3 linked regions of the Macaca fascicularis genome follow. The protein of the gene in region 1 purifies or fractionates together with the protein of each later gene. This does not show direct contact. Links are inferred from orthologs where the notes say so. Each region holds a gene or a part of one and is shown in the gene's direction. Other genes may lie near its edges. The genes, in order: PTCH1, GRK2 and CCNB1.

The links.
Region 2: the proteins of PTCH1 (region 1) and GRK2 purify together in Homo sapiens (affinity purification with western blotting; 3 studies listed by BioGRID and IntAct, with this or other methods). This does not show direct contact. The link is inferred for Macaca fascicularis from reciprocal best matches to the Homo sapiens genes PTCH1 and GRK2.
Region 3: the proteins of PTCH1 (region 1) and CCNB1 purify together in Homo sapiens (affinity purification with western blotting; 3 studies listed by BioGRID and IntAct, with this or other methods). This does not show direct contact. The link is inferred for Macaca fascicularis from reciprocal best matches to the Homo sapiens genes PTCH1 and CCNB1.

The regions. Positions count from the first base shown.
Region 1 is NC_088389.1:127,584,697-127,595,037, forward strand, and holds part of PTCH1 (protein patched homolog 1), read left to right. Parts: intron 1-3,495; coding exon 3,496-3,614; intron 3,615-4,253; coding exon 4,254-4,656; intron 4,657-6,001; coding exon 6,002-6,311; intron 6,312-10,341.
Region 2 is NC_088388.1:7,095,331-7,105,671, reverse strand, and holds part of GRK2 (beta-adrenergic receptor kinase 1), read left to right. Parts: intron 1-5,401; coding exon 5,402-5,478; intron 5,479-7,325; coding exon 7,326-7,399; intron 7,400-7,543; coding exon 7,544-7,645; intron 7,646-7,751; coding exon 7,752-7,826; intron 7,827-7,962; coding exon 7,963-8,024; intron 8,025-8,864; coding exon 8,865-8,916; intron 8,917-9,226; coding exon 9,227-9,318; intron 9,319-9,586; coding exon 9,587-9,686; intron 9,687-9,774; coding exon 9,775-9,853; intron 9,854-9,946; coding exon 9,947-10,077; intron 10,078-10,341. UniProt on the Homo sapiens protein: Specifically phosphorylates the agonist-occupied form of the beta-adrenergic and closely related receptors, probably inducing a desensitization of them. Key regulator of LPAR1 signaling.
Region 3 is NC_088380.1:74,826,116-74,837,029, forward strand, and holds the start of CCNB1 (G2/mitotic-specific cyclin-B1), read left to right. Parts: upstream 1-3,792; 5' UTR 3,793-3,905; coding exon 3,906-3,926; intron 3,927-4,553; coding exon 4,554-4,724; intron 4,725-4,818; coding exon 4,819-4,989; intron 4,990-8,541; coding exon 8,542-8,724; intron 8,725-10,914. UniProt on the Homo sapiens protein: Essential for the control of the cell cycle at the G2/M (mitosis) transition.

The DNA.
Region 1 (10,341 bases):
GTGCGATCTCGGCTCACCACAACCTCCACCTCCTGGGTTCAAGCGATTCTTCTGCCTCAGCTGCCCGAGTAACTGGGATTTTAGGCACGCGCCACCACGCCTGGCTAACTTTGTATTTTTAGTAGAGATGGGGGTTTCTCCATGTTGGTCAGGCTGGTCTCAAACTCCAACCTCAAGTGATCCTCCTGCCTTGACCTCCCAAAGTGCTGGGATTACAGGCGTGAGCCACCGTGCCCGGCCCTCTTTATCATCCTCTAAACCCTGCTGAGGCCTCTCCCAGAAAGCCTGCCTTGACTGATCACCCCTACACCCCACTGAGCTGTTCTGCAGCCTGGCACCTGCCTTTATGAGGCCATCCATCATTTGGGATTGTCATTTGCGTATAGGTCTTGCTCTGTGAGAATTGAGAGTAGGATTTTTCTTATCTTTGTGTCTTCAGCACCCAGCACAGTACTGGATTTTTCTTTTTAAAAGATCTCTCTCTCAGGTGAATTCTCCTGTCACAGTGGTGATGAGCTTATTTGTGTAGGCCTATCCGACAGGTCTTACATACACGAGAGTGGTAAGCTAACACGCTTCATATTTTTCAATTGATGAAGGATTTTCAAGATAGACCAAGAAGAAAGAGGTTAGGTCGTTTTTAGAAGACTCTTGACAGGGAATTAATTATTAGGAGACATCTCTCCAGAACTCAGGCTTGCTGGTTTACGTTGAGCATAAACTCACAATTCCCATCCAAAGCCCTTTGTGGGAGTTCTCCCTCAATTGTGTTAGGTGCCAGTTACAGCCAGGTGTTCTTTCCTTACCCTAGGACATTTATCAATTTGAGGTTTGTGAACTAAGCAGTTCTTTTGAGAAGCCTCGTTTTTTATTTTCTTTTTTTTTTGAGACAGAGTCTCGCTCTGTCACCCAGGCTGGAGTGCGGTGGTGCAATCTTGGCTCACTGCAACATCTACCTCCCAGGTTCAAGTGATTCTCCTGCCTCAGCCCCCCGACTAGCTGGGACTACAGGCGCCCGCCACCACGCTCAGCTAATTTTTGTGTGTGTGTTTTAGTAGAGACGGGGTTTCACCATGTTAGTGGGGATGGTCTCGATCTCCTGACCTCATGATCCACCCGCCTAGGCCTCCCAAAGTGTTGGGATAACAGGCGAGCCACCGTGCCTGGCCTCGTTTTTTATTTTCAAAGCCATGTCTGTCAATGTCCTGGCTCCTCAGCGTCGCCAGTGCGTTTCTCTGTGGTGCCCCCTCTGCCGTGCCCTTCCAAGCTAGGTCGACTTTCCACTGGCCTCTGTTGGCTTCCTCTATTAACAGCCCAATTTTGTAATATTTACTAGGTCAGCAGGAGATTTGCCAACACACTGCAGAATCTAGCCCTGTGTTTATTCTAGGTTATAGAGTGACTTTTGAATCTTTCTGCCTACTATAATCACACACAGGAATTTCTTTCTGCTTAACTCTCCTTGGCCTTCTCTGTTTCTTGCTCTCACACCCCACTGGCTACTCCAGAGGCTGTTTGGAATTTGCCTATGAAAACCTCAGGGGACACGTGCGAAATGGTATTTCCTGTTTTAAAGGGGGACATTTTGATATACTCGATCCACTTTATATAAAAATGTTTAACTGTAAAATCAGGGTCGCGTGACCTCTTGGAAGCATTCTGGAAGGGAAATGCTTCTGTTTGTTTTACATTCTGTCTGGAGCGTGCTCTCTGTTCCGCCTTTGTGGATTCGGTTTGGTTAGGTTACCGCAACACGTTAGTAGTTTAGTTCCCAGGTGTGCCTTTCCGGTTCATGGAATTATTAGAGATAGAAAGGCCCAGAAATAGTCAAGACTATGCTTGTCACATCGGCTCTTGATGATGTAGCAAAAGAACCTCTTAACATCTGTCATAGTTTCAAACACGTCAAGAGGAAAGGGAAAGAAAAATACTGTTTAAAAGCATCTTTATTTTCGAAGCGGTCCTCTGATTGGGCGGAGGCGTATTGGTGACCTCTGATTGGGCGGAGGGGTATTGGTGACCTCTGATTGGGTGGAGGGGTATTGGTGACCTCTGAGCGGAGGCGTATTGGTGACCTCTGATTGGGTGGAGGGGTACTGGTGACCCCTGACTGGGCGGAGGGGTACTGGTGACCCCTGACTGGGCGGGGGCGTGTTGGTGACCCCTGACTGGGCGGAGGGGTACTGGTGACCCCTGACTGGGCGGAGGCATGTTGGTGACCTCTGATTGGGCAGAGGCGTGTTGGTGACCCCTGACTGGGTGGAGGGGTACTGGTGACCCCTGACTGGGCGGAGGCTGTTGGTGACCCCTGACTGGGCGGAGGGGTACTGGTGACCCCTGACTGGGCGGAGGCATGTTGGTGACCTCTGATTGGGCGGAGGCGTGTTGGTGACCCCTGACTGGGCGGGGGCGTGTTGGTGACCCCTGACTGGGCGGGGGCATGTTGGTGACCTCTGGGCGGAGGCCGCGTGTTGGTGACCTCTGAGTGGGCGGAGGCCGCGTGTTGGTGACCTCTGAGTGGGCGGAGGCCGCGTGTTGGTGACCTCTGAGTGGGCGGAGGCGTGTTGGTGACCTCTGATTGGGCGGAGGCGTGTTGGTGACCTCTGATTGGGCGGAGGGGTGTTGGTGACCTCTGACTGGGCGGGGGCGTGTTGGTGACCTCTGACTGGGCGGGGGCATGTTGGTGACCTCTGACTGGGCGGGGGCGTGTTGGTGACCTCTGGGCGGGGGCGTGTTGGTGACCTCTGGGTGGGGGCGTGTTGGTGACCTCTGGGTGGGGGCGTGTTGATGACCTCTGATTGGGCGGGGGCGTGTTGGTGACCTCTGGGTGGGGGCGTGTTGGTGATCTCTGATTGGGCGGGGGCGTGTTGGTGACCTCTGGGCGGGGGCGTGTTGGTGACCTCTGATTGGGCGGAGGCCGCGTGTTGGTGACCTCTGATTGGGCGGAGGCCGCGTGTTGGTGACCTCTGATTGGGCGGAGGGGTATTGGTGACCCCTGAGTGGGCGGAGGCGTGTTGGTGACCCCTGACTGGGCGGAGGCCGCGTGTTGGTGACCCCTGACTGGGCGGAGGCCGCGTGTTGGTGACCCCTGACTGGGCGGAGGCGTGTTGGTGACCCCTGACTGGGCGGAGGCCGCGTGTTGGTGACCCCTGACTGGGCGGAGGCCGCGTGTTGGTGACCCCTGACTGGGCGGAGGCCGCGTGTTGGTGACCCCTGACTGGGCGGAAGCCGCGTGTTGGTGACCCCTGACTGGGCGGAGGCGTGTTGGTGACCCCTGACTGGGCGGAGGCGTGTTGGTGACCCCTGACTGGGCGGAGGCGTGTTGGTGACCTCTGAGTGGGCGGAGGGGTATTGGTGACCTCTGGGCGGAGGCGTGTTGGTGACCTCTGGGCGGGGGTGTGTTGGTGACCTCTGATTGGGCGGAGGCCGCGTGTTGGTGACCTCTGAGTGGGCGGAGGCGTGTTGGTGACCTCTGAATTTCTTCTCTGTTCCCAGGCGGCGGTAGTAGTGGTGTTCAATTTTGCCATGGTTCTGCTCATCTTTCCTGCCATTCTCAGCATGGATTTATATCGACGCGAGGACAGGAGACTGGATATTTTCTGCTGTTTTACAAGGTACGTTTTCAGACCGCTGTGGCCTTTTGGTTGGGTGCAGAATTGTGCAGTGAGAGAACTCTTTCAGCTGTGGACTTAGGCATGTGGGTGACAGGGTTTGTGCTGGCGTGGAGGAGACAGGGGAGAGATTGGACAGAGGCTGCCTCCCTAGGGGGGCATCAGAGTCTCCTGGGCTTCCTTCTCCCCTGCCCCAGCTGAACAGTCTCACAGCCCTCGGGATGCTGGTACCGATGACCCCTTTGCCCATCATGAACTGATGTTGCCAATTGTGGGAGCGCTTCATATCTCCGCGTTAGAGCAGAACAAGATTGAAGACCACCCTCTAGAAGATGTGTAGTCCTTTGGTGGTTTGATTTTGTTTGGAATTATGCTTTGAAGGATTGGTCATGATGGAACTTGCTTTTGGAAGGCAAATTTAGGATCAGTTCTCCACGTGGCCTCCTCAGACTGACTTTTATCTAGTTCACCAGGCAATGATGTTATCAGCCAGGCCATGTTTCTGGAGCTCAGCAGTGTAACGTTTCTCTTCCCAAGTCAGGGCTGTGTAAAATGGGTTCCCCGTCCGCAGTGAAAATGGCAGAATGAAAGCACCGTTACCCTCTTTCAGCATAACATTGCATCGTGCTTCCCTCCTTTCAGCCCCTGCGTCAGCAGAGTGATTCAGGTTGAACCTCAGGCCTACACCGACACGCGCGACAATACCCGCTACAGCCCCCCACCCCCCTACAGCAGCCACAGCTTTGCCCATGAAACGCAGATTACCATGCAGTCCACTGTCCAGCTCCGCACGGAGTACGACCCCCACACACACGTGTACTACACCACCGCCGAGCCGCGCTCCGAGATCTCCGTGCAGCCCGTCACCGTGACGCAGGACACCCTCAGCTGCCAGAGCCCGGAGAGCACCAGCTCCACAAGGGACCTGCTCTCCCAGTTCTCCGACTCCAGCCTCCACTGCCTCGAGCCCCCCTGTACCAAGTGGACGCTCTCATCTTTTGCTGAGAAGCACTATGCTCCTTTCCTCTTGAAACCAAAAGCCAAGGTAATCTACCACAACTTAAGACTCTTCCTGTCTTCAAAAAAATAACAGAACCTTTGGAGCTCATCAGATTGCTTCTACTTTTCTTCTTTTTCCTTAAAAAAATTCATATAAGTATGATATATTTCAGTCCTCCAAAAGTCAACGCTTTTAGAGCACAGGGCCATTTTAATGAGGTTATCTTCCGTGGGAGTGAACCACCATGCAGCGAATCTTTTTATGAATGAGGTTGTTTAAAAATGTGATTATTGCCAGGTGCGGTGGCTCATGCCTGTTATCCCAGCGCTTTGGGAGGCTGAGGTGGGAGGATTGCTTGAGCCAGGAGTTCGAGAACAGCCTTGGGCAACAAAGGACGACCCTGTCTTTACAAAATATTTTAAAAATTAGCCAGGGACAGGTGTGGCTCACGCCCCTAATCCCAGCATTCTCGGAGGCCAAGGCCAGCGGATTGCTTGAACCCAGGAGTTCGAGACCAGCCCAGGCAACGTGGTGAAACTCCATCTCTACAAAAAATTGCCAGGGCATGGTGCTGTGCCTATAGTCCCAGCTGCTTAGGAGGCTGAGGTGGGAAGATCACTGAGCCCGGGGATTCAAGGCTACAGTGAACCCTGATGGCACCACTTCATTCCAGCCTGGGTGAGAGAGTAAGACCCTGTCTCAAAAGAGAGAGAGAGAAAAAAAAAGGCATGGTGCTGTGTACCTGTAGTCCTAGCTACTTGGGCAGCTGAGACAGGAGGATCACTTGAGCCCAGGAGTTGGAGGCAACAGTGAACCCTGATCATGCCACTGCACTCCATCCTGGGAAACAGAGTGAGATCCCAACTCAGATAAATAACAAAACAAGGCTGGGCGTGGTGGCTCACGCCTGCAATCCCAGCACTTTGGGAGGCCGAGGCAGGTGGATCACCTGAGGTCAGGAGTTCAAGACCAGCCTGGCCAACATGGTGAATCCACATCTCTACTAAAAATACAAAAAAAAAATAGCCAGGCATGGTAGTGCACACCTGTAATCTCAGCTACTCAGGAGGCTGAGGCACGAGAATTGCTTGAACCTGGGAGGTGGAGGTTACAGTGAGCCGAGATGGCACCACTGCACTCTAGCCTGGGCAACACAAGACTCTCTCTCTCTCTCTCACACACACACACACAAATATATATATATATATGAATAACAAAAATGCGATTACTGTGATTTTATACTTTTTCTATGGGAGAACAACCCCTACAAGCTAAATCAGGTCAAGTGTGGTGGTGCAAACAAGGTATTAACTAGACAGCTTCTCTTTGTCCAGGCAGAGTCAGTGGTGCTCCCTGGGATCTGTCTGACCTTGTACCTCTTCTGTTCCAGGTGGTGGTGATCTTCCTTTTTCTGGGCTTGCTGGGGGTCAGCCTTTATGGGACTACCCGAGTGAGAGACGGGCTGGACCTTACGGACATTGTACCTCGGGAAACCAGAGAATATGACTTTATTGCTGCACAGTTCAAATACTTTTCTTTCTACAACATGTATATAGTCACCCAGAAAGCAGACTACCCGAATATCCAGCACTTACTTTACGACCTTCACAGGAGTTTCAGTAACGTGAAGTATGTCATGTTGGAAGAAAACAAACAGCTTCCCAAAATGTGGCTGCACTACTTCAGAGACTGGCTTCAAGGTAAGGCCGTGGGAGGGCTTTCGTCCTTTTGCTCTTTTGCATGTTCAGCTTCAACAGGTTCCTTTGTCCTGATTATGAAAGTGTTAGATTAGAATGTAACACTGACGTGTTTCATGGACTTTTAAGAGTTGCTCAAGAGTCTTACCTGGACTGTTTCTGCAGCAGCCTCCCAGCTCTGGGTTTTCCCTGTAAAATGATGCAGATAATTCAGACGAGCTGCTGTGGGAATGTACAGATGCACGTTAGGAAAAGGGGAGCATGTAACAGGTGGAGCTGAGGCTTCTGGTGCTTTCCTCTTGGATAGATGGTGGCTAGTTTGGTGACCACATGAAATCAAAGTGTGGCTGGGATTTCCAGACTGATTGCCAAATTATAGCTTACTGTACCAGGAGATGCTAGATAAGCAGTGGACATAGTCTTAAACTCCGTATTTTGACCGTCCTTTAAGAAGTTATTTGTCTATTTCTTTTTTTTTTTTTTTTTTTTTTGAGACGGAGTCTCGCTCTGTCGCCGGGGCTGGAGCGCAGTGGCCGGATCTCAGCTCACTGCAAGCTCCGCCTCCCGGGTTTACGCCATTCTCCTGCCTCAGCCTCCCGAGTAGCTGGGACTACAGGCGCCCGCCACCTCGCCCGCCTAGTTTTTTGTATTTCTTAGTAGAGACGGGGTTTCATCGTGTTAGCCAGGATGGTCTCGATCTCCTGACCTCGTGATCCGCCCGTCTCGGCCTCCCAAAGTGCTGGGATTACAGGCTTGAGCCACCGCGCCCGGCCTTATTTGTCTATTTCTAATTGACTTTGTTTTTAGAGCAGTTTCAGGTTTTCAGGAAAATTGAGCAGAAGGTGCCGAGATGGCCCATGTCCTCCTTCCTCACCCATACACAGCCCCCCACTATAAACGTCCTGCAGCAGGGGCTGCATTTGTTACAGCTGACGAACCTGCACACTGTTACCCAGGCTCCATACTTTACGGCTGGGTTCATTTTGACCATTTCGTGATTTGGTACATAAAGTAAAGTTATAAATGTTTAATCACATTTCACACTATTTTATAAATAATCAAATTCTGCTTTAAAATGCCCTTCTTCGTGGGGTGCAGTGGCTCACACCTGTAAATCCCAGCACTTTGGGATGCCAAGGTGGGCAGATCACCTGAGGTCAGGAGTTCGAGACCAGCCCGGCCAACATGGTGAAACCCCATCTCTACTAAAAATACAAAAATTAGCTGGGCGTGGTGGTGGGTGCCTGTAATCCCAGCTGCTCAGGAGACTGAGGCAGGAGAATCACTTGAACCTGGGAGGTGGAGGTTGCAGTGAGCCTAGATTGCACCATTGCACTCCAGCCTGGGCGACAAGAGCAAGACTCCATCTCAAAAAATAAATAAATAATAAAGTGCCTTTATTGGTTTCTTTGCTCTTAGAAATGTTTCTAGGAAATATTCATCAGCTGGAGGGGAAAAAAAAGTCTAAATTTTCTCCTGACCAACTGCATAGAAATGTATGCAGTGATTCCAAGAACATCTGTTCATTTATTCTGCGTTGACACATGCAAAGCCAAGTAGAGAATCAGGATAATTATCCACCCAATTCAAGCAAAAACGCTTTTACTGGAGTACCAAATCATTATGGCCCCCAACATTTTTTGGCTTAGATTAATCCAAATGATTGTCTTAATGTCCCACTTAATTAGGCTTGTTTAGACACAGATGTAAGTGCCTTTTTTGGTCTGAAGTGAATACACTTGTACGTAGAGACTCGGCAGCCAGTTTCCCTGAGAGTTTGCCGGAAATGGTCAACAACTTGAGGTTGGTGGAGGTTCCATACAGCTAGCTTCTGGCCTTGACTTGTGTTTACCAGAACTTTCTGCCTACATGTATACCCAGTTTGACTTTCCTTTTGGAGGAAGGTAAAGAGAACATGCCATGATTATTATCTATTAACAGCCTCCTGAGACAAACGTGAATTTGTTCCAAGCTTTATTTTTCACATTTAGTTTAGAAAGCAATGGTTTTCGGGATAATGAGTTAAAAGAGAGACAGTGGAGAGAGTCCCTGCTTTTCATTTTCCCTGCATTGACCAAAGACATGCAAATAACTTGCCACAGATAACAAAGAGATCTGCTGTGCCCTGCCAGTCTCTGAGCAGAGGAGGGTTACTGTAGAGGGTATTTCAGTGTCTTTGGCCACTGCTCTGGAGGCTCAGTGTGGCATGCTAGGCAAGGATCGGGAAGGGGGTAAAGGGGGATTGTCTTAAGGCCGTGCAGGGGGTTAACCTTTTTATAGAGCATTGTAGATCATCTCTATACATTTCTTCCTTTATAGATGTAAAGCAGCTGGACTTGAGATTTCTTTTTTAAGGTGCATTGGAATCATGTTTTGATTGCTATGTGAACGGCATACACCTAGACCAAGTGAGATCCATTGCTGCTGAGCAGTCAGGGTCTCAGGCAGCCCTGGGACTCCATGACTGACTCTTACAGGGTCCACTAGAGCACTCAACACAGAATGACCAGACCCGGGAGCCCTTTGCTGCCTACACGTTCTTCAGGCCTGTTGAGTGGTTGATGTGGTCTTTGAATATTTTCTCCAAGGAAACAATTAGCCTTGAGTCAGCTTTCCTTGCTAACATTTTTGTGTGGTTTTTAAATGGGGGGAGCCTCATTGGTTTTTAATGGAATTCCCGTTAAAACCATGTTATTTCATTGGTCTTTATCAACATTCCAAAAGTTTATCTTTGATTTGTTTTATTCCTAAAACTATATAATGGTTAATTTCAAAACTGCCCTACATGTCACATCTTAAAACACATGCAAACAAGGCGGAGTCAGATCAAAATCATGCCTCAAATCTTGTGCAAATGTGTTCCTTTTTATTTCACACTGGATTATGCAAACAAAATTGTGATTAACATTTTACTTCTGGGGTTCCATAGCTGAAGGAAAATGGGCAATCGGGGTTACTCCTTTAGGCCAGAACTTTACACTAGAAAATAATTACTAGCACAAGGTATTCATAAGGGGAGAACTTCTAGCTGACATGTTAAGATTTGCTGTAAAATAAGTAAAATGTCACAGTTTTCTAGAGTGTGCGTGCGTTAGAATATGAAGCACTGGATAAGGGGCAGTGGAAACCCAACCTTATCCCTTGTTTTGTGTCCAGGGTCGTACCTTGTACATGTGCTTAGGCCAGCCCATTGTTACTTGAGCTTTTTGGTGATTCATCAGAAAATACTGTAGTAATGGGGAAAGAACTTAACTGTTCCATAAAGTCGATCACTGTTTCGTATTCATCTTTGAACCCCTGGTACAGTGAATGGCACCTAAGGGACCAGCAGTGTAGATTCTGAGTTGAATCCAGTTTCCAACAAGGCTGGCTTCCCCAAATAGGTTCTTTCTTCCTTTGTTTCACCCTCGGGTGTCCCAGAAGTCTTTGTGTGTGAATATCGTAAAACCGCCCTCAGATTTTGGGGACCCTGTTTGCCACCAGATGTTGTTGATGCTGGAGTTGAATCTGCTTGTCTTACTCCTGCCTTTGACACATCTTTGGGTACCACAGTGTGTCCCGGCACTGTAGGCCAGTGAGTGGCTCCGTCTGCCTCTGCTGACTTGCTGCCTGGGTTTGAGTTCCGTCCAACGCTCACCTGCTGCGTGGCCTTCTCCGGGCTCCCCTCTCCAAGCCTCAGTTCCTCCATGTGTGAAGCCGGAGTGACTAACTGTAACGGGGCTGTCCCTTGGTTGCTGTGATGCCCAGCGCTGCCCCACACTCACCAAGCGTGAGCCTGTCTTCAGGATTAGCCGGTTAAGGGAGAGGGGCTTAAAGCCCAGGACGCGCTGTGAGGTCATGAAAACTGTTACGGCGAGGAAAACAGATGAGGTCTCCCTTTTTGAGGGGAAAGGAGGAGCAGTAATTTTTCTTCTCCTGTTCACTTTTTTTCAAAAGCAGGAAGAAAGGGCTTTCAGTAATAACATAACATCTGCTCGGTGCTGTGTGTGTGCATGCCTCCCTATGAAAACCGTGTGTCTGAGAGGTACGCGGC
Region 2 (10,341 bases), on another chromosome or scaffold:
CAGACCTGCCAGGCCTGTAGCCTTCGTGCCAGCTCTCACCGTCCTGGCGTGGCAAAGCTTTAGCATCACTGTCGCACGACAGGCACAGGAACCATGGCTCCTGGCTGCCAGCTGCCGGCCAAGGCTGCCTCTCATCCTGGGTTCCAGGGAAGGGGGCTGCCCGCCTCCTGCAGCCCCTGGTCAGGGGCGGGAGGGCCTCCAGGCCAGAGGCTGGGCACATGTCAGGGTCCTCTGAGCCCTGCACCCAGCTCTTTCACAGGGATCAAGGGGAGGATGGAGGGTGCTGTGGTGGGAGGCCATTTCTCAGGCAGCCTTTGGACATTTTCTTTGACACTAACTCACTGTGGGCCTTGGAGCACGTGGCCCAGCCAGCTTCCTCCAGCCTTGGTTTCCTCACCATCAGCAAGAGTGTGTTGGCCTCTGACTTGTCACTCCCTCCCGTCCACACAGCTGCAGCTTCTGACCCCGAGCAGGAGCCACCTGAGAGAGCCCAGGCCACAGAGCATGGCCTGGACTTTGCATTTCTTCTGAACCATGAGGTGCCAGAAGGGACCGGAAGTGCTCCCTCAGCACCCACTCCTTCCCTGTCACCCAGCGCTCAGTGCTGCAGCTGCTCACTTGTCTTCTGCCCCCAGCGTTGGGCTGGGCCTGCTCCAGGAGCAGCGGGAGCTGGTGCGGGCTGCCCTAGCTGCAGGGGTGCCAAGGTGGGACTGACCACTCCTTCCCAAGGCTGAGCAGGCACCAAGCACCTCTGTGCCAAGGAGCCCTTGATGCTTTGGCAGGGCAGGCTGCAGGCTCTACCCACTGGGCCCACAGTAGAGCGATGCAGTGCCTGAAGCTGGTCTGTGAGCAGGGGAGTCCCAACCACCCTGCTCAGCTCAGCCCTGGCCACAGGCCCCATCCACCAAGGCCCCATCCTCCAAGAACACAGCAAATGTGGAACAGAGGGTCGGGCAAGACCGGCCACTGTGTGATCCAGCACGGACTGTCCGTGAGCCGTGGGGCGCTGAGGAACAGGGCTCTGGCGGCTCTCTCCCATGGCCCAGCAGGCAGGGCACGGTGGGCAGCACGGCCAGCCTGGCATCTTAGGAGCCCCCCTTCTGCCGTGTCCGCCCAGGCTTTGCAAATGGCCAGTGTGATGGTGGCGATTCAGCATCTCATTGACATCCTCATTTTACAAGTGGGGAAACTGGACATTTCAACTTTGTGACCAGATGGTAAGGGCCATTTGGAACCCAGGCACCCATCCAGCGGCCAGAGCAAAGATCAAGGCCCTTGCTCAAAAGTGTTGGGATCCTTAGGGTCCTTCCGTCTGGGACTGTTGAGGCCACTTGGTTCTCCTGATGCTCCAGAGTAGATCTTGGGAGCCACGTTCCCCTGGATCTCAGGGTTGCTGACCTGGGTGGGGGCAGGGACACGCTCTGGGCTCACTGCCACTCCAGACTCTGCCAGTATCAGGGAGCGGTGTTGGAGACAAGGTGACCCAACCCAGGAGGCTGCACCGCCCCCATGCCCGCCTGTGCTTGCCACCCTGGCAGGAGCTGCCCCCAGTGGCAAGTTCTTCCAACCTGCCAGTTCCCTTGGCAGCCAGACCCATGGGAATAGACAGGAAACCCTAAAATTGCCACTTTGGGGGCCTTCCATTCAAGGACTGTGCTCAGGCCTGACCTCGTGTTTGGTTTCTTGCTGGGGGGAGGGGGGTTGTTTATTTTATTTAAAAAACATTTTTTTCTTTTTAAGGAAGAAAGTGGAGTGCTGTGGGCTGGGAAGAATGCGGTGGCCATGCCCAGGCGTGGCTGCTGAGGGGAGAGATGGCCTCAGAGCCCCAGGTCCTGCTTCCTGCTGTTCCCAGGCGGGGACCGACAGCAGAGCCCCTGGGAAGGAGAAAGGGCCTACCCGGCAGGTTCCCCTGGCTGTCGCAGGCAGGGAAGCGAGCATGCTTCCCCCTTGGAGATTTTGTATGTCCAGTTGAGAAGTGGCAGTGGCTACTCCCTGGCTTCTAGGTGGCCATTCCCTCTGCCAAGCTGGCACCATTTTTTTTTTTTTTTTTTTTTGAGACAGTCTCTCTGTCACCCAGGCTGGAGTGCAGTGACGCAATCTTGGCTCACTGCAGCCTCCGTCTCCAGGGTTCAGGTGATTCCTCTGCCTCAGCCTCCTGAGTAGCTGGGACTACAGGCGCACACCACCACGCCTGGCTAATTTTTGTATTTTTAGTAGAGATAGGGTTTCACCATGTTGGTCAGACTGGTCTTGAACTCTTGACCTCATGATTCACCTGCCTCGGCCTCCCAAAGTGCTGGGATTACAGGCATGAGCTACTGCCCCCTGCCAAGCTGGCACCATTTTTGCAGGCTCCTAGGAAGCAAGTCTGGGGCTCAGTGGGGCTTACTGCTGAAGCCCCGTGGCCCCCATTCCCAGGACCATGCCCAGCTCCTGGTGGGTGACCCCTACAGGCTAGAATTGCTTTGCCTGTCATCTGCATCTGCCTGTCGCTGCCTTCCGCTTGACCAGCACCTGATCATACTCATTTGACCCTCCACTGCCCCAGAAGACAGGCATTTCGGAAGACTGGCATTTTGTGTGGTTTTTTTTTTTTTTTTTTGCTTTTTTTCATCCTCTTCTGTGGACCAGAATGTCCCAGAACTCAAAAATCTGGTGCAGAACCAGAGTCCCGCCTTCCCGGCCCACCTCCCAGGTGAGATGCAGGCCCCTGGCCTTGGGATTTTCTCCACGCTCTGGTCTCCCAGTGCGTAACCTGTGCCTCAAGGGCCGCCCAGGGCCCAGGCCTCCTGTCTGCAAGTGCTGAGTGCAGGGACTGTGTCTTTCTCAGTTAAAGAGATTTTTATGAAGCCCCTGCTGTGTGTGAAACACCACAGTCTCCGTCCACCGTTTCCTGTGTCCCTGGGAGTCCCACGTGCAGGGAAAGATGTCCTTGACAGTGGCTGGTGGACATGAGCTGGCATGTGTCCTGAAGCGGTGGGTGTGCTGGCCTGGACGGGGGGCCCATCCTCGGAACTCCTGCCAGTTCTCAGAGAGCATCCTGACTCCCCGGTGGTGGGGCATTGACCCTTTTCCCATCCAGGCAGGGTCTGTTCTGAAGGAGTCATAGGATGCGAACTCAGGGTCACTTAGGCCCATCCTTGTCTTCAGTGCCCTGCTTCCTGTTGGAGACAACTTTGGAAGAGGCCACAGCCCCTCCCAGCCTCTGAGGGTGGGGAGCAGGCGAGGGGGTCACGGCCTTGGGACTGTGCTCATGGCAACCCTGCTGTGCACGTGCTATCGTGCTATCTTGCTCGGCCTTTCCTGAGGAAGGCTCGAACCAAGTGAGATCAGGGGCCGAGGCCCGGGAGTCCACTGCAGCCCTTCCCAGAAGGACAGTGCCCAGCGGAAACGGATAGGGGCCCCCCTCTCGAGCCTGAGGCCAGTGGCCAGGCAGGGTCCACAGGCCAGGTCAGTGCTGCCTGGAGCTGCTCTCCGCAGACAGCTCTTCTGGCTGGAGCCACTGTTCTTCCAGACCCTCGGGCCCAAAGCCTGGAAGCCCTCATGGGGCTGGACTCATAACCCTTCTCCTGGTCCCCGACAGCCTGAGCCTTCTCCCACCCACCCTCTTCCCCTTCTTCCTGCCCAAGTGTTGCCTCTGCCTGGGCTTCCTCCCCGTAGCGCCTCCAGTGGAGTTGGGCTGCTGCTGCCCTGGACCGAGCCTCCTGAGTCCTGCTCTCCCACCCACTCCTTGGCTCTGAAGCCCCCCAGTTTGCAAGGCCCTGCCCTCCCCCTTGCCATGGCCTTTGTGTGCCCTCTCCCCTGCCCTGTTGGCCTCTTGCTTATCCCTGGACATACTGTCCCCTGCCTGTTCCCATGTCTACCGACCTCCCTGGCTTCGCCACCTGCCGAGATCCTGCTTGCACTCCAGGAACCCAGGGGAGTTCCGCCTTCTGCACAGAGCCTCCCCAGACCCAGAGGCCTCCTCCCCTTCCCAAGGCTTCTGCACACGATGTCTGGTATCACAGGCTCAGAACCATGCCCTGGGCAGGGCTGCTTGGAGCAGGGGGTGGCTTTGGCATGATGTACACAGTGCCTCAGGGGTAGATGTGCAGCAGGTCTTCGTGACCACAGCCTGGGTGGCCAGTCCGACCAGCCCTGGACTGGGCTCCTAGGGGCAGGCAGGGCTGGGGTGCAGAGAGGCAGGGGCTGTGCCAAGCACAGAGAATCTGGACTTGCAGATCCAAATCTCCACCAGCTGCAGTCTTTTCCCAGGAGGCCTGCTGGCGGCCCCATAGATCCTGCAGGGCCATGTGAGCATGACATGGGCTCAGGTTGTTGGCCCTACAGTCCCCCAGCCCCGCACATGCCCTCAGTATGGCAGCTACACGTTACCCTAGGAGCCCAGACTACTGAGGACCAGATGCAGGCCTCAGCTGGCCATCGGGACAGACTGGCAGGGCTGGGCTGGAGATGGACCAGGAGAGGGCAGGAGGGGATAGTAAGGTGGTATTTGAGGCCAGGAGTGTAGCCTGTTGTGGCTCTCCCAGACAGCACTCATTGTGGGGGTGAGATAAACAGGGTGGGGGGTGTCAGGTTGGGTTTTGGGGGTCACAGTGGCCAGTCCCTCCCCTACGGCCATACCAAGCAACCCAGGGCAGGGGTCACATTTTATATCCAAGTACTAGGGACACACGACCAAGACATGGCCTTTTCTTACCATTTAAAACATTGAGATGCAGTTCATACAAAATTCATCATTTTATTATACAATTTAGTGTTTTTTAGTATATTCACCATGTTGTGCAACCCTTACCCCAAAAAGAAACCGCATCCCCACCGGCAGTCACTCCTCTCCCTCTCTCCAGTCCCCAGCAGCCGCAGATCTGCATTCTGTGTCCGTGGGTTTGTTCATGTGAGTGGACTCCCACAGTATGTGGCAACCCTTTGTGACTGGCTTCGTTCAGCCTCATGTTTTCAAGGCTTATCCGCGTTGTGGCCCCTGTCAGTGCCTCATTCCTTTTTACCGCCGAGCCATGTGCCCCTGTGTGGAGATGCCACATGTGTGTCTTTTCATCTGCTCACAAACCAGGTTTGCCTTTTGTGACTTGGCCAAGTGCCCAAAGCCAGCCGGTTGCAGCACTGGGACCAAACCCCACAGGCAGTGGGCCTCTAAGCAGGGGGCCACCTGCCGGCCACCCTGGCCTTTGGGACACAACCTGGCGGGGGCAGTGCAGGGAAAGGCTTCCTGGAAGCCGTCTGGTTTGACCTGTGGCTGGGGTGAGTGAGTATGCCCGACATGGTGGCCTCCTTCCTGGAGGGAGTGGCGACACCACCAGCAGTGCCCTCCGCTCACAGTTCTGGGCCTGCAGCCCCGACAGGCTCTGGGAGCTTCTGCTTACTGCACTCCCCTGTCCTACAGCATCCGCAGTGTCATGCAGAAGTACCTGGAGGACCGAGGCGAGGTGACCTTTGAGAAGATCTTTTCCCAGAAGCTGGGTGAGTATGGCAGTGGCTCTGCCAGCCACCAGGCTTCACTTCTTGCCCCTACCCCAGTCAGCCCAGCCGTGCTCCCCACTCTCTGGAGATTTGGCCTCCCATCTACTCAGGGTGGAGCAGCCAGCGAGACCCCAGGGTTTGCTCCAAGTCTCTGTGACCCTGTGTGTCTCCTAGCCCCTGCCCATCGGCCCAGGGAGCCCCGTGGTGGGGGTGGGGGCCCAGAGTCTTCCAGGGCCGCCAGGGAAGTTCCTCCTTTGGGGTTTTTGTTTTTGAGAGTTGCAGCTTCCCCTTGGCGCGGCCGCAGCTGCTCTGGGCCGTTGGTAGAACTGACAGGAAGAGGCGGGGCCCTTCCTGTGGCGCCTGCCGAGCTGTGGTTGGCCCCGCCCCACCCCATGGGCCCTCTTTGTAAGCAACCTGCCTGGCGCTGGCCCTCCATTCCTCCTCCAGCTGGTGTCTGATGCCTGCTGTCAGAAGTTTCATGCGACCCACCCTGTGGACCTGGCCTGGAGGGCAGGCTTGGGGCAGGTCTCGGGAAACAGGCTCCAGCCCCACATGGCTCTGATTTGGCCTTCCTGAGAATAGGAGCTCAGCTCTGGACAGGGGGCATCCTGGCCTGATGGGATCAGGCACTGGACGTCAGCCTGGGGGAGTCGGTGTGTCAGGAAGCACAAAGTTTGGGTCCCAGGCCTGTGCCATGTGCCCTCGGGCAAGTTGCTTCACCTCTCTGAGTCTGCTGGTGTCCTCACCTGGGAGATGGGACTCATGAGTCCCACTGCACAGGCCTGTCACAGTCAGATGAGAGCACTGTGCCCACTGTGAAGCCTGGTCCCCATTCCTCAAAAGCCCTGCACTAAAGGCCAGGCAGTGAGGACTGAAGTGATGGCCACAGCTCTGACCCAGGTGCCCATGCGGTGTCCCCGAAGGCATGGGAGGCTGCCAGCTTGAGCCGGCTCACCCGTGTCAGACTGGAGGCCTGAGAAGGGCCTCTGTCCCCGGGTAGTGCTCGGGGGCCAGGTCCCTGGGCCCAGGCCCAGGCCCCTTACTCAGGCATGAGGGCACTCTATCTGGGGTCCTCTGAGAGCCCCTCCCACAGCCCACCTTGCCTTTCCAGTTCCCTGTGGCCCATACCCCTTCCATGCCCCCTGCCCTGAGGCCCCAGCCCCCAACCTCTTTCCCAGGGACTTGCCACTTGGTAGAGTAGTCCTGAGTTCCGCTTGAGCCTCTGCCACAGGCAGTGTGTCTGACCAGCTCCTTGAGCCCTAGTTTCTCCAACTGGACCCATCCTTCCTGCCTGTTTCTCAGGCCACTGTGCAGATAAGCCAGACAATGCAGTGGGGCAGGGTCCAGAGGAGTGGTGTGGCCTCTCAGAGCCCCCTGCTAACCTCCCCCCCATGCTGCAGGCTGAACTGGCCCTGGTGGCCACAGCATCCCAGGGCCCCCAGACTGGATCGCGTTGCACCTGCACAGCCCGCCCCGGTGCGGGGTATCGGCCTCACAGAGCAGGCACAGGGTCCTGGGCTGCAGTGAGTGGGGGCCCAGGTGCCAAGCCAGGGCTCCCTGATGCCAGAGCTAACACCTCTCTTCTGCCTCACCCATCGCCGTCCAGCTGCCACCTGGGGAAACAGATTTCAGGAAGAGGGTAGAAACATAGGGGCCCTGACCCAGAATCCAGGTGTCTTCAAGTTGGCAGCAGCCTTAGTGGCTGCCTGGCCCACCCCTTGCCTGGGGCCGAGACCACCTTTGCCATCTCCATAGCCAGTTCTGCCCAGGGAGCTCAACTCACACCATCTGCAATGATGGGAAGGCCTCGGAGGCATGGCTCTGTGACCTTACACTGTTGCCTTCAGGGTACCTGCTCTTCCGAGACTTCTGCCTGAACCACCTGGAGGAGGCCAGGCCCTTGGTGGAGTTCTACGAGGAGGTGAGGCCCAGAGGCCCGGGCCCTGCTCTGCCCGGAGAAAGGGAAGGAGGTTGGGGCAGCTTTGTGGAATCCACAAGCCACCTGGTGTGGGCACCCCCATTCCCTGCTGGGCTATAGATGACCTGCAGGAATCCTGTCCTCCAGATCAAGAAGTATGAGAAGCTGGAGACAGAGGAGGAGCGTGTGGCGCGCAGCCGGGAGATCTTCGACTCATACATCATGAAGGAGCTGCTGGCCTGCTCGCACGTGAGTGTCCTCGGCTGGCCCTGTGTGCTGGCCCAGAGTCACCTGCAGATTGGGAGGGGAAAAGAGGACCCTGCAGAGAATTCATGGCCACCTCTGTCTTCCCCAGCCCTTCTCCAAGAGTGCCACTGAGCATGTCCAAGGCCACCTGGGGAAGAAGCAGGTGCCTCCAGATCTCTTCCAGGTGTGTGCCTCCCGATCCCTGCCCAGGCGAAGTCACCTTGGACAGCCCCGGGTCAACGAGCCTGGTCAGCTAGGGGTGGGGCCTGGGCAGCCATGGTCTCGGGGCTCAGTCACCAACTTCCAGCTTCCTCCCTTAGCCATACATTGAAGAGATTTGTCAGAACCTCCGTGGGGACGTGTTCCAGAAATTCATCGAGAGGTGAGAGCGGGGCAGTGTAGGAGAGGAATGGGGAGGGAGAAGCCGCTCTCAAAAGGGTGTGGCTGGTGTGGAGGGCAGAAGCCAGCCTTCATTAGGCCCTGAGCAGGCAGGTGGCTGGCCCATCAGTGGCCCCCTTGCAAGGACTCCTGAGAGGTCAGACAGGCTGCAGGTCATCTTCTCCCACGCTGCCATCCTCAGCACCAGGCAGCTCAAAGCCCATCCCAGGCAGTCTCCTAGCTCCAGGGAGCTCCAGGGACCTAGGAGAGCCGCGCCACCTGTGCCTCTTTCCCATGGGCTGTATAGCACCTTGCTGGCCCACCCGGGCTGAGAAGCATCAGGGTCGTGGTAGGGGTGGGCCCGGGAGAGCACATAGCCCCCGTGACCCTCACAGCCAGAGTTGGTGCGGTGGGTGGGAATTGTAGGCAGATTTCAGCTAGCTTTAGGGAGCAGCTTTTTTAGGGTCACTGCTGCCCAGCCATGGAGTGAGCTCTGTGTCACTGAAGGTATGCAAGCAGGGATGGGAGATGCACTTGTCAAGGATATGGTAGCAGAAGGTCTGGGTTAAACTGGAAGACCTCGTCTCTGTGTGGATCTGATTCCAGCAGGAAGCCACAGCCAGGTGGCCGAGGGCCGAGCTGGGTACCCAAGCAGCCCTGGCTGGCACTGTGGGTGGGCAGGCCCTCAACATATCATTCCTGGAAGAGGACATTAAAGCTCGTGATGTTTCCACATCTACCCTCACGGGACCCCAGGGAGTGGCTGCTGGGTGGGGCAGGCTCACAACAGCATCATCCTTCCCACATTCTGAGTGGCCCCTGAGCCCAGATTCTTCTCTTCCAGTGATAAGTTCACACGGTTTTGCCAGTGGAAGAATGTGGAGCTCAACATCCACGTGAGTGGGCCTGGGTGGGGCATGGAAAGCTGTGCACCCTGCTGCTCCTCTCCGGGGAGCTGGGCCTGAGGCTTGGCTGGGAGTGGGGAGGTCAGGGGGTATCTGTCCTTTAGCCCCCAGGGCCGTGGCTGCGGGGGTCAGGGCCGGGATCCTGGCATGGGGAGGCTGGAGCAGGTAAGTGTGTGGCGAGGATGGCCAGGACATGGGTATGGGGACCCTGGCATGGGGCCAGCCCCTGCTGCCCAGGTGCCTCTGCCCCAGGACTGGGCCAAGGCAGCCTGTGGTGACCGCAGCTGTCACTGCCCCTCAGCTGACCATGAATGACTTCAGCGTGCATCGCATCATCGGGCGCGGGGGCTTCGGCGAGGTCTATGGGTGCCGGAAGGCCGACACAGGCAAGATGTGAGCACCCTGCTCGGCGTGGGGGAATGTCTGGGGGAGCCGGGCTCCTGGGGGCCCTGATGGGCTGGGTTCTTCACAGGGCTACCTGCTGCCCCATGCACTCCTGTCTTGCCATGCTGTTACCCCTGCAGGCTCCTCTGGCCCCAGCCCTCCCTGTCTCTTATTTGTGTCACAGGCTGGTCCTGGGTCTAGTCTTTCCCTCAAGCGCCCTCAGAGGCAGCCCTGGGCCCCTGCTCCCAGGTGTTGATTGCCGACCTCTGCTCTGCAGGTACGCCATGAAGTGCCTGGACAAAAAGCGCATCAAGATGAAGCAGGGGGAGACCCTGGCCCTGAACGAGCGCATCATGCTCTCACTCGTCAGCACCGGGGTGAGTGGGGTGGGCTGGGCTGCCGCTGAGGCTCTGGAACCCCGGGCACCCCTGCTGACTGCCCCTCCCCTCATTTCTCCCCTCCCAGGACTGCCCATTCATCGTCTGCATGTCGTACGCGTTCCACACACCAGACAAGCTCAGCTTCATCCTGGACCTCATGAATGGTGAGTGCTGGCCCTGCCCCAGGGTGGTCTGGGCCCAGGCACGGCAGGCTGGGGCAAGATGCTGAATGCTGCCTGTGGGGCTGCCTCCCTCAGGTGGGGACCTGCACTACCACCTGTCCCAGCACGGGGTCTTCTCAGAGGCTGACATGCGCTTCTATGCGGCCGAGATCATCCTGGGCCTGGAGCACATGCACAACCGCTTCGTGGTCTACCGGGACCTGAAGGTGAGCGCCTTGCTGTCCCTAGGCTGGGCCTCCGTAGCTGTCCTCTCCTTCCTCTCAGCATCCCGGCCACCAGGCCCAGAGGAGTGAGGCTCCTGGGACATGGCCACCCCTTGTCTTCCCATCTCCGCCCCTGCCCTTCCCACCGAGCTACTCTCTGGGTCCAGGTTGTGGCTGGGGACAAGAGAGAGGACCCCACCTTTGCCCTTTCCTTGGGGAGCCATCGTCCTCTCCAGTGAAGCAGTGCCCCAGCTGGCATCTTGCCTG
Region 3 (10,914 bases), on another chromosome or scaffold:
TAAGATCTAGAGTTCGGTAGCCTAGATCTGGCCTAGGGTGACTATAATTAACAATAATTTATTGTATATATTTCCTTTTTTTTTTTTTTCTTTTTTTTTTGAGACAGAGTCTGCTCTGTCACCCAGGCTGGAGTGCAGTGGCGCAATCTCGAATCACTGCAACCTCTGCCTCCCAGGTTCAAGCGATTCTCCTGCCTCAGCCTCCTGAGTAACAGGAATTACAGGTTTGTGCCACCATGCCTGGCTAATTTTTGTGTATTTTGTAGAGATGGGGTTTCACCATGTTGGCCAGGCTGGTCTCAAACTCCTGAACTCAAGCAATCCTCCCACCTTGGCCTCCCAAAGTGCTGGGATTAAAGGCATGAGCCACCACGCTCGGCCTTTCTTTAATTTTTTTTTTTTTGAGACAAGGTCTTGCTCTGTCACCCTGGTTGGAGTGCAGTGGTATGATCTCAGCTTACTGCAGCCTCAACCTCCTAGACTCAAGCAATCCTCGCACCTCAGCCTCCTGAGTAACTAGGATTACAGGTACACACCACCAATCCCAGCTAATTTTTGTATTTTTTGTAGAGATGGGGTTTGCCAGGTTGCCCAGGCTGATCTTGGACCCCTGGGCTCAAATGATACTCCTGCTTTGGCCTCCCAAAGTGCTGGGATTACAGGCATGAACCACCGCACCCAGTCTGTATATTTCAGAATAACTAGAAGAGTGGAGTTGGAATGTTTCCAACACAAATAAATGATAAATGTTTGAGGAGATAAATATCCCAATTACTCTGATTTGATCATTACACATTGCATGCTTGTATCAAAATATAACATGTACCCCATAAATATATACAACCATTATGTATGCATAAAAATTAAAAATAAACATGACAAAATGTACCATTAAGAATATTAGTACCCCCCCCCCAAAAAATAAAAACAACAAAAGAAGAAAAAAAGAAAAAACAAACAAAAAAAATAAATAAAAAGAAGAATATTAGTCTGAGGCCAGGTGCAGTGGCTCTAGTGAACCCAGAGGTTAAGATTGCAGTAAGCCATGTTTGTGCCCCTGCACCCTGGCTGGGTAATAAAGACCCTGTCTCAAAACAAAAATAAAACTGGGCAAAGGCTGGGAGAGGTGGCTCATGCCTTTAATATTCCCAGTGCAGCCGGGCGTGGTGGCTCACGCCTGTAATCCCAGCACTTTGGGAGGCCAAGGCGGGTAGATCACAAGGTCAGGAGTTCGAGACCAGCCTGGCCAATATGGTGAAACCCTGTCTCTACTAAAAATACAAAAATTAGCCAGGTGTGGTGACGGGCACCTACAGTCCCACTTACTTGGGAGGCTGAGGCAGGAGAATCACTTGAACCTGGGAGGCAGAGGTTGCAGTGAGCCGAGATCGAGCCACTGCACTCTAGCCTGGGCAACAGAGCGAGACTCCATTTCAAAAAAAAAAAAAAATGTGTATATATACATACACACACATGCACACACACACATATATACATATATATAGACACATATATACATGTATATATATATATTCCCAGTGCTTTGTGAGACCAATAGTTTGAGATGAGCCTTGGAAACATAGTGAGAACCCATCTCTACAAAAAATAAAAAATAAAAAAATTAGCTGGGCATGGTGGCTCACACCTATAGTTCTAGCTACTTGGGAAGCTGAGGCAGAATTGCCTGAGCTCAGGAGTTTGAGGTTACAGTGAGCTATGATCACACCAGTGCATTCCAGCCTGGGTAACAGAGTGAGACCCTATCTCAGAAAACAAAACAAAACAAAAACTGGGCAAAATACCTGAACAGATACCTCACCAAAGAAGTTATACAGATGATAATCACAGAAAAAGATACTCAACATCATATGTCATTAGAGAATTGCAAATCAAAATACAATGAGTTACCACTACATACCTATTAGGATGGCTACAATTTTTTTTAAAAACTGACAACACCAAATGCTTGTGAGGATTGCTGATGGAAATGCAAAATGGTACAGCAGCTTTGGAAGACAGTTTGGCGGTTTCTTACAAAAGTAACCATACTCTTACTATATGATCCAACAGTCTTGCTCCTTGGTATTCACCCAAATGAGTTTAAACCTTATGTCCACTCGGCCGGGCGCAGTGGCTCATGCCTGTAATCCCAGCACTTTGGGAGGCCGAGGCAGGCGGATCACGAGATCAGGAGATCGAGACCATCCTGGCTAACCCGGTGAAACCCTGTCTCTACCAAAAACACAAAAAATTAGCCGGGCGTTGTGGCAGGCGCCTGTAGTCCCAGCCACTAGGCAGGAGAATGGAGTGAACCCAGGAGGCGGAGGTTGCAGTGAGTCGAGATCGCACCACTGCACTCCAGCCTGGGCGACAGATACAGGCTCCGTCTCAAAAAAAAAAAAAAAAAAAAAAAAAAAGTAAAAAAAAATTTTTTTAACTGGAACACAGAGGATAAGTAATCCTGCCTCACCCCTTGCCTCTCGCCCTTGCATGGGGCGAGGCAGGATTGATCAAACCCAGAAAGACTGAGGATGGATGCTGAACACAGAACTGAAAGATGAATGGGAATTACCTGAATAGAACAGGGGCTTGAGTGCAACAAGAGGCGGGCATTCCAGGCAGAGGAGAGCAATGGTAAGGGCCCCACGGTAGGCATCCGAGTAGGAGGGTAGAACTATGATGATAGAAGACTGAATAACGATCGAATGAAACCAAATGATTGGGCGCCTTCTTTCGGATCCTTGACTTCCAGGGCCAGCAGTCTCTATTGGCTCTTATACCGTTGCTCTATGAGGTATCAATGTTTTTGTCCTTCAGCCTCCCCTCCAATTGTTGAGCTCCTGGTGTGTTTTGAGGAGTAGAAGGCAAAAAGAACCCTCTTATTTTTCTTTGGATCCCGAGAGAGATTGAGCAAATAACAAAGCAAATGGTGTAAAATGTCTTTTTGTTTAGTTTTTCTTGATCTTCCCATGAGAGGCAAATACATGTTAAGGATAGTTGAATCTGGGTAAAGGGTACAGAAATGTTCCTTACAAGATTTTTGTTGGCAACTGGTGCAAGTATGAAATTATTTCCAAATAGGAAGCTAAAACACACAAAACAATTGGCCTTGGGAAACTGGCCAATCTTGAAGTAATCAAGTAATATTGTTAAGGGACAATCAGTATTGTGAAAACACGAATACGCCCCCTCCCTCCCCCTCAAAAAAAAACCCCTAAATTCTGTTCCCCCGTTGCTAATGTGTGATCCTGGCAAAGTCATCTAAGGCGCTGAGCTTCAGTTCCTCCACCCCAGAGAGTTGTTGCAACGATCAAATGAAAGAACGTATATCAAAGCCTTTCATGAACTATATTATTGCTGCTACCGTAGAAATGGAAAGTGTACAATAATTTGGACTAGATCCAAAACTACTTTTGACACTTCTGAGACTGTGGCCGCGCCACTGTCACCTTCCAAAGGTCACCAGGCCTTTCCTGAGCTGATATTGGCAGCGCACACTCTTGCCCGGCTCACCTTTCCAGGTGGGCGGTGCTCGCGCTGCTCGGCTCTCCAGGTGGCCGCGGCAGCTGCCCCAGAGCGCAGGCGCGGAGGCAGACCACAGGAGAGCCTGGCCACGCCTTCCGACCTAGCCTCACTCTGGCCCCGCCCCTCTCGAACGCCTTCGCGGGATCGCCCTGGAAACGCATTCTCCGGGACAGGCAGCCGCCAATGGGAAGGGAGTGAGTGCCACGAACAGGCCAATAAGGAGGGAGCAGTGCGGGGTTTAAACCTGAGGCTGGGCCTGCTCTTCCCGGCGTGCTGCGGAGGAACGGCTGTTGGTCTCTGCTGGGTGCAGGTCCTCGGCTGGTCGGGGCTCTGGTGTTCTGCTTCTCCCCGCTGAGCTGCTGCCTGGTGAAGAGGAAGCCATGGCGCTCCGAGTCACCAGGGTGAGCCGCTACGGACTGCGAACTGACGCGGCCTTCTTCGCTGCAGCCTGCTCGCTCTGCCTCGCCTGCGGGAGCCCCCCGAGCGGGAGAGGGCCGCAGGAACGATTTGGGGAGGAAGGTGGGAGGGAAGTCACCAAGAGAGCGTCGAGGTGGGCCCAGGCCTGGTGGGGGAGTGTGGGGGACGATGGATGGAGGGAGGAAGGTGAGAAAGAGAACTGGACCGATATTGGATAAATGTTTGGGGGAGATGGAAAGTCGACTGGGAACCTTTTGAAAAAGTGATAGAGGGTCCCTGAGTGGGCCCGCCAGCAGCTCTGTAACCCCCTTCCCAGAGAGAAGGTGTCTGCAATTGGAGGCTTTTTCGGTTTCCTTTCAAACGTAAATTCTCGGTATTTTAGGGCTGGGCAGGACTAATCAGGGAATCCCTCAATTGGTAAATGTAGAGGTTGTCGGCGGAAACTGACTTGTCACGGCCGCAGAGTAGACTCTGGGACCCACGTTTTCCCTCGGAACCCATTTTTACTCGGCTTTCCTTCTGGGAACTTCTCTTGTGCCCCACCTTAATTAACCCTTGACTTACTCGAGCCTCCGTGGACCAGCTCTTAAAGTGGTCTTTGCTTCTTTCAGAACTCGAAAATTAATGCTGAAAATAAGGCGAAGATCAGCATGGCAGGCGCAAAGCGCGTTCCTACGGCCCCTGCTGCAACCTCCAAGCCCGGATTGAGGCCAAGAACAGCTCTTGGGGACATTGGTAACAAAGTCAGTGAACAACTGCAGGCCAAAATGCCTATGAAGAAGGTAACTGTCTTCCCAACCTAACTTCTGTCAGAGCTGGCCTTACAACTGTGGCCTTTGATGCAGAAACATTTCATTCTCTCTGTTTCATCTACAGGAAGTAAAACCTTCAGCTACTGGAAAAGTTATTGATAAAAAACTACCAAAACCTCTTGAAAAGGTACCTATGCTGGTGCCAGTGCCAGTGTCTGAGCCAGTGCCACAGCCAGAACCTGAGCCAGAACCTGAGCCTGTTAAAGAAGAAAAACTTTCGCCTGAGCCTATTTTGGTAAACTTATTCTTACCATTGTAGAGTCTGTTGATTATTTCTTGTCCCTTATTTCACTGCAAGAGCATTCAAATTAATACCATTTATTGAGTGCTTAGCATGAGGCAATCTCTGCCCAACATTCTACATGCATTAACTCACATAATCTTTACAGGTACTCTGAGGTAGGTATTGTCACCTCTGCTATTTAAATCATGGCTTTAGAGAGGTTTTGTCAGGGTCACACAGGTAAGTGGCCCATATGAGATTTAAGCTCAGGCTGTCTGGCTTCAGAATCTATGCTTTTAATTGTTAACTGTCTTATATTCCTTCGTTAATGATATTAAGTAGTACCTGCCTGAGCCAAAGGCTTTGTTGTCCAAGTACAAGCCACCTCTGCAGAATTTATCGGAGTAAACAGAATGTTCTCTTGAAATTTTTTACTGCCTAATATGGCTACTAAATAATAAACCTGTAACACTGGAAAATGCAAAGGAGTAAAACAGGAAGAATGCAACTTTTCAGGGAGTGGTTAAGAAGATGAATTAATGGCCGGGCGCGGTGGCTCAAGCCTGTAATCCCAGCACTTTGGGAGGCCGAGGCGGGCGGATCACAAGGTCAGGAGATCGAGACCATCCTGGCTAACACCGTGAAACCCCGTCTCTACTAAAAAAAAAATACAAAAATTAGCGGGGCGTGGTGGCGGGCGCCTGTAGTCCCAGCTACTCGGGAGGCTGAGGCAGGAGAATGGCGTGAACCCGGGGGGCGGAGCTTGCAGTGAGCCGAGATCGCTCCACTGCACTCCAGCCTGGGCGACAGAGCAGACTCCGTCTCAAAAAAAAAAGAAAAAAAAAAGATGAATTAACACTTAGCCTCAAAACCAGTAACTTTTTATTAAATAAAAGGTATGTAAATGTATCCTATGATAGACCTCCCTGTGAAGGAAAAGTAGGTCATGTAGAGGAGGCTGCTTTGATGAAACTGCAATGAACTGCATTCTGAAGCTCAGTTTTTTAAACTTAATTAAAACCAGTTGGGAAAATTATCTGAAAAAAAAATTTTTTTTTTTTTTTTTTTTCTTTTTTTTTGAGACGGAGTCTCAGCTGTGTCGCCCAGGCTGGAGTGCAGTGGCCGGATCTCAGCTCACTGCAAGCTCTGCCTCCCGGGTTTTTACGCCATTCTCCTGCCTCAGCCTCCCGAGTAGCCGGGACTACAGGCGCCCGCCACCTCGCCCGGCTAGTTTCTTGTATTTTTTAGTAGAGACAGGGTTTCACCGTGTTAGCCAGGATGGTCTCGAACTCCTGACCTCGTGATCCGCCGGTCTCGGCCTCCCAAAGTGCTGGGATTACAGGCTTGAGCCACCGCGCCCGGCCCTGAAAAAAAAGTTTTTGAGACAGAGTCTGGCTCTGTTGCCCAGGCTGGAGTGCAGTGGTGTGATCTCGGCTCACTGCAACCTCTGCCTCCCAGGTTCAAGCAATTTTCCTGCCTCAGCCTCCCTAGTAGCTGGGATTACAGGCGCACAACACCACACCCAGCTAATTTTCATATTTTTAGTATAGATGAGGTTTCACCATGTTGGCCAGGCTGGTCTTGAACTCCTGACCTCGTGATCTGCCTACCTCGGCCTCCCAAAGTGCTGGGATTACAGGCGTGAGCCACCGCGCCCAGCCAGTTAAGCTTCTTATATCTAAGGATAAGACATTGAAAACTATTGCTTTAGTGTTGAATTTCTGGGCATAGCACATGAAACATGTAGCCAGCATGGTCTTTGGGCATATCAAACTACATGATGCTTTCTTGAAAGGTCCATACCGATTCTTACCTTTGCTTTCCCACTTAGTAAGAATGCCTTCCCTACCCTTTCATTTAGCTAATAACCTTTTCATCCTTGAAAACAGCTCAAGCACCAACTCCTGAAGCTTTCCTGAACTTCTCCCATCTCCACCCCTGTTCCTAGAATCAGTCTTTTTGTTTGTTTTGAGACAGTCTCATTCTGTTGCCCAGGCTGGAGTGCAGTGATGCCATCTCAGCTCACCGCAACCTCTGCCTCCTGAGTTCAAGCGATTCTCCTGCTTCAGCCTCCCAAGTAGCTGGGACTACAGGCACGTGCCACCATGCCTGGCTAATTTTTCTATTTTTAGTAGAGACGGGGTTTCACTATGTTGGCCAAGCTGGTCTCGAACTCCTGATCTCGTGATCCACCTGTCTCAGTCTCCCAAAGTGCTAGGATTACAGACATGAGCCACCATGCCCAGTCTCAGTCTTATTTTTACTTATTTATTTATTTTTTCCCGAGACGGAGTCTTGCTGTGTCACCTAGGCTGGAGTGCAGTGGCGTGATCTTGGCTCATTGCAACCTCCGCCTCCTGGATTCAAGCAGTTCTCTTGCCTCAGCCTCCTGAGTAGTTGGGATTACAGGCACCCGCCACCACACCCAGCTAATTTTTTTTTTTTTTTTCTATTTTTAGTAGAGAGGGAGTTTCACCAGGTTGGCCAGGCTGGTCTCAAACTCCTGACCTCATGATCCGCCAACCTGGGCCTCCCAAAGTGCTGGGATTACAAGTGTGAGCCACCGCGCCCGACCTTATTTCTTTACTTTGTCTACTAAATTCAGAGTCCCTTGAGGATGCCATGAAGTCAATGCCTTGTAGAGTTTGACTTGAAGAAGGGGCTCAATAAATGTTTGAACAATGGGATAAAGGGAGCTTGAAGGAAGTGGTTAATGGTAATGAAGTTAATCCTTAGTAGTCAGGATAGAATTTATGTTATTTTGAGTAGTGAGAAGCAGTTTATATTTTGAAATAAAGACTAAAGACTGAACTGTCCTTTATTTGGATTAACTTCACATGTTGCTGATAAAGATTAATTACTTCTCAGTTTCCTTTGCAGGAAAGTCTAGAATGTGAATTTATTTGCTTCCAACTTTAAACTGACTCACTCTGAGTTGGCATTTCACTCTTTTTTTTTTGCCCAGGCTGGAGCAGAATGGCGCAATCATAGCTCACTGTATCCTCAAACTGCTGGGCTCAAGTGATCCTCCTACCTTGGCCTCCTGAGTAGCTAGGATTATAGGCAGTTGCCTTCATGCCCAGCTAATTTTTTGTAGAGATGAGTTATTGCTATATTGCCCAGGCTGGTCTCGAACTCATGGTCTCAAAGGATCCTCCCACCTCAGCCACCCAAAGAACTGCGATTACAGGCTTGAGCCACCATGCCCGACCTCATTCTTTTTAATTGAGTAATTAAATGATCACTTTCTTTTTTAACAAAGACAGGGTCTTGCTATATTGCCAAGGCTTGTCTTGATCTCCTGGCCTCAACCTCAGCCTCTCAAAGTGCTGAGATTAAAGGCGTGAGCCACCACGCCCAACCCAAATGATCACTTTGGATGTTAATCACTTCCTAAAAAGAAATGGAATAAGTATGAAAAGATACTTTTCCTTTAAGGAAATGAATTGTATGTTGATTCAGGAGAACACTATCTTGAGTTGGTACCAATAACCTGACCTTCAAGCCCAAACTATAGTGCTTACTCCTATTTGCTCTTGTTTCAAGAGATCTCTTTGTTTTAAGGTCGATACTCCCTCTCCAAGCCCAATGGAAACATCTGGATGTGCCCCTGCAGAAGAAGACCTGTGTCAGGCTTTCTCTGATGTAATTCTTGCAGTAAATGATGTGGATGCAGAAGATGGAGCCGATCCAAACCTTTGTAGTGAATATGTGAAAGATATTTATGCTTATCTGAGACAACTTGAGGTCAGTATTATCATTAGTTTTTTTTCTAAACTGCATCTAACTTTATGAAAGTCTTTTCTATCAATAGTTCATAATAATTCAAGCAGGACTTGGGCAGCATTTCTTAAGAGATCGCACTTTCAAATTCTCCTTCATGGAATACCTAAAATAAAAAGTCACTAAATCAATGGAGTCTATTTGCCACTTTGTGCAGGAAAGTTCGAAGTCAGGGTGGATACTACTATCGGTCTTTCTGAAGGAAAGTCCACAGATTGAATTTGATATGTATATATGCAATCTCCACCGTATTTGGAATGGTTAAGTCCCAAACTCTGCATTTTAGGTAATAATGGGTCAGCAAGTGGATGAGAATGTAGAATATACTCAAAGACTACAGCCACCCCTAACACAAGGCATTTTGTGTTAGTGTGGCTGATGTGCGTCCAGTTGTTGGTGAAATTATTTGTGCCCAAAAGGAGTACACTCAAAAGCTACTTTTTGGTTCACTTCAATTTGATCCCACTTTTGAAACTTTCTCTTAATGGCATTTGCCCTTTTCCTACAAACACAAGTATTCTATATGGCAGCATAAACATAGTAGCGTCAACTATACCGTTATCACATTTACCTAGTTTTTTGGTGTGTGTGTGTGTGTGTGTGTGTGTTTTTTTTTTTTTTTTTTAGAGGGAGTCTCACACTGTCGCCCAGGCTAGAGGGCAATGGTGCCGTCTCAGCTCACTGCAATCTGCCTCCTGGGTTCAAGCAAGTAATTCTCCTGCCTTAGTCTGCCGAGTAGTTGGGATTGCAGGCACACACCACCATGCCTGGCTAATTTTTTGTATTTTTATTTGGTTTTGGTTTTTTGAGACAGGGTCTTGCTCTGTTGCCCAGGCTGGAGTGCAGTGGTGCAATCTCGGCTCACTGCAACCTCTGCCTCTCGGGTCAAGTGATTCTCATGCCTCAGCCTCCTGAGCAGCTGGGATTACAGGTGCCCACCACAACACCCAGCTAATTTTTGTACTTTTAGTAGAAATGAGGTCACCATATCGGCCAGGCTGGTCTCAAACTCCTTAGATGATCCACCCACCCGGCCTCCCAAAGTGCTGGGATTACAGGCATGAGCAGTCGTGCCCAGCCCCCAGTTGTTTTTAATGCATCGTCTTAATGTCATCACTGACATCTCTTGCCTGCTCCTTTGGGGCCTCTCCTTTTTCTATAGGATTCTTCTGCAAGACTTCTATGCCAGGAGTAGCCTTCTGCTTTGAGTTTCTTCTGCCATCTTTTTAGGGCTTTTTAAAGTTGTGTTCTAACTTTGGAGGATACCTTTTTTTTTTGAGACAGTCTCGCTGTGTCACCCAGGGGGTGTGCCGTGGCTCACTGCAAGCTCCGGCTCCCAGGTTCACGTCATTCTCCTGCCTCAGCCTCCTGAGTAGCTGGGACTACAGGCACGTGCCACCATGCCTGGCTAATTTTTTGTATTTTTAGTAGAGACAGGGTTTCACCATGTTAGCCAGGATGGTCTCGATCTCCTAACGTCATGATCCACCCACCTTGGCCTCCCAAAGTGCTGGGATTACAGGCATGAGCCACCGTGCCCAGCCTGTAAATGTGCTGTTTCTTGATGCTTCGTTCTTGTTCTGTGCAAGGCGGCCATATATGCAAAGCAACCCCCCAAATGTCAGAGGAGCTGAGAAACCAAGGAATGAGGCAGATAAATGGAGTTTGCTGGTATTGGGTGACTGATGAGGGGGAATTTACAGACATAAGTCTGGTCTTTGATGGCTGTAAGATGTAGATCTCTGCACTGTAACCCCTCATACCCACGGCTTGAGTATGTATACATTTTCTTGGGGAAAGTATACGTGCTCTAGAATCAATGTGCGGGTGGCTGAGAGAATGCTACAGACATCATAGCCTATAATGTATACAATAGTATGAAGGGCTGTTTTGGAGGAGAGGCCAAACTTAAAGTGAATAGGCAGAAGGCACATTGGATTAGCATTTAAAATAAAGTCACTCTTGTCCCCCACAGTTCTTAGCTATGTTGCTGTTGGGCTTTAACCCTGGAGCAGGCAGGAGTGTTGTAGTACATGGGTTCCAGCTGCCCTGGGAGTTTGATATTTTCTCTACGTAAAGCTCAGGTTCTAACTTTAGAGGCTCAAGTGAAAAGATCTGAGATGATAGTATAGTATCTTTATTTGGAAGGGAGTG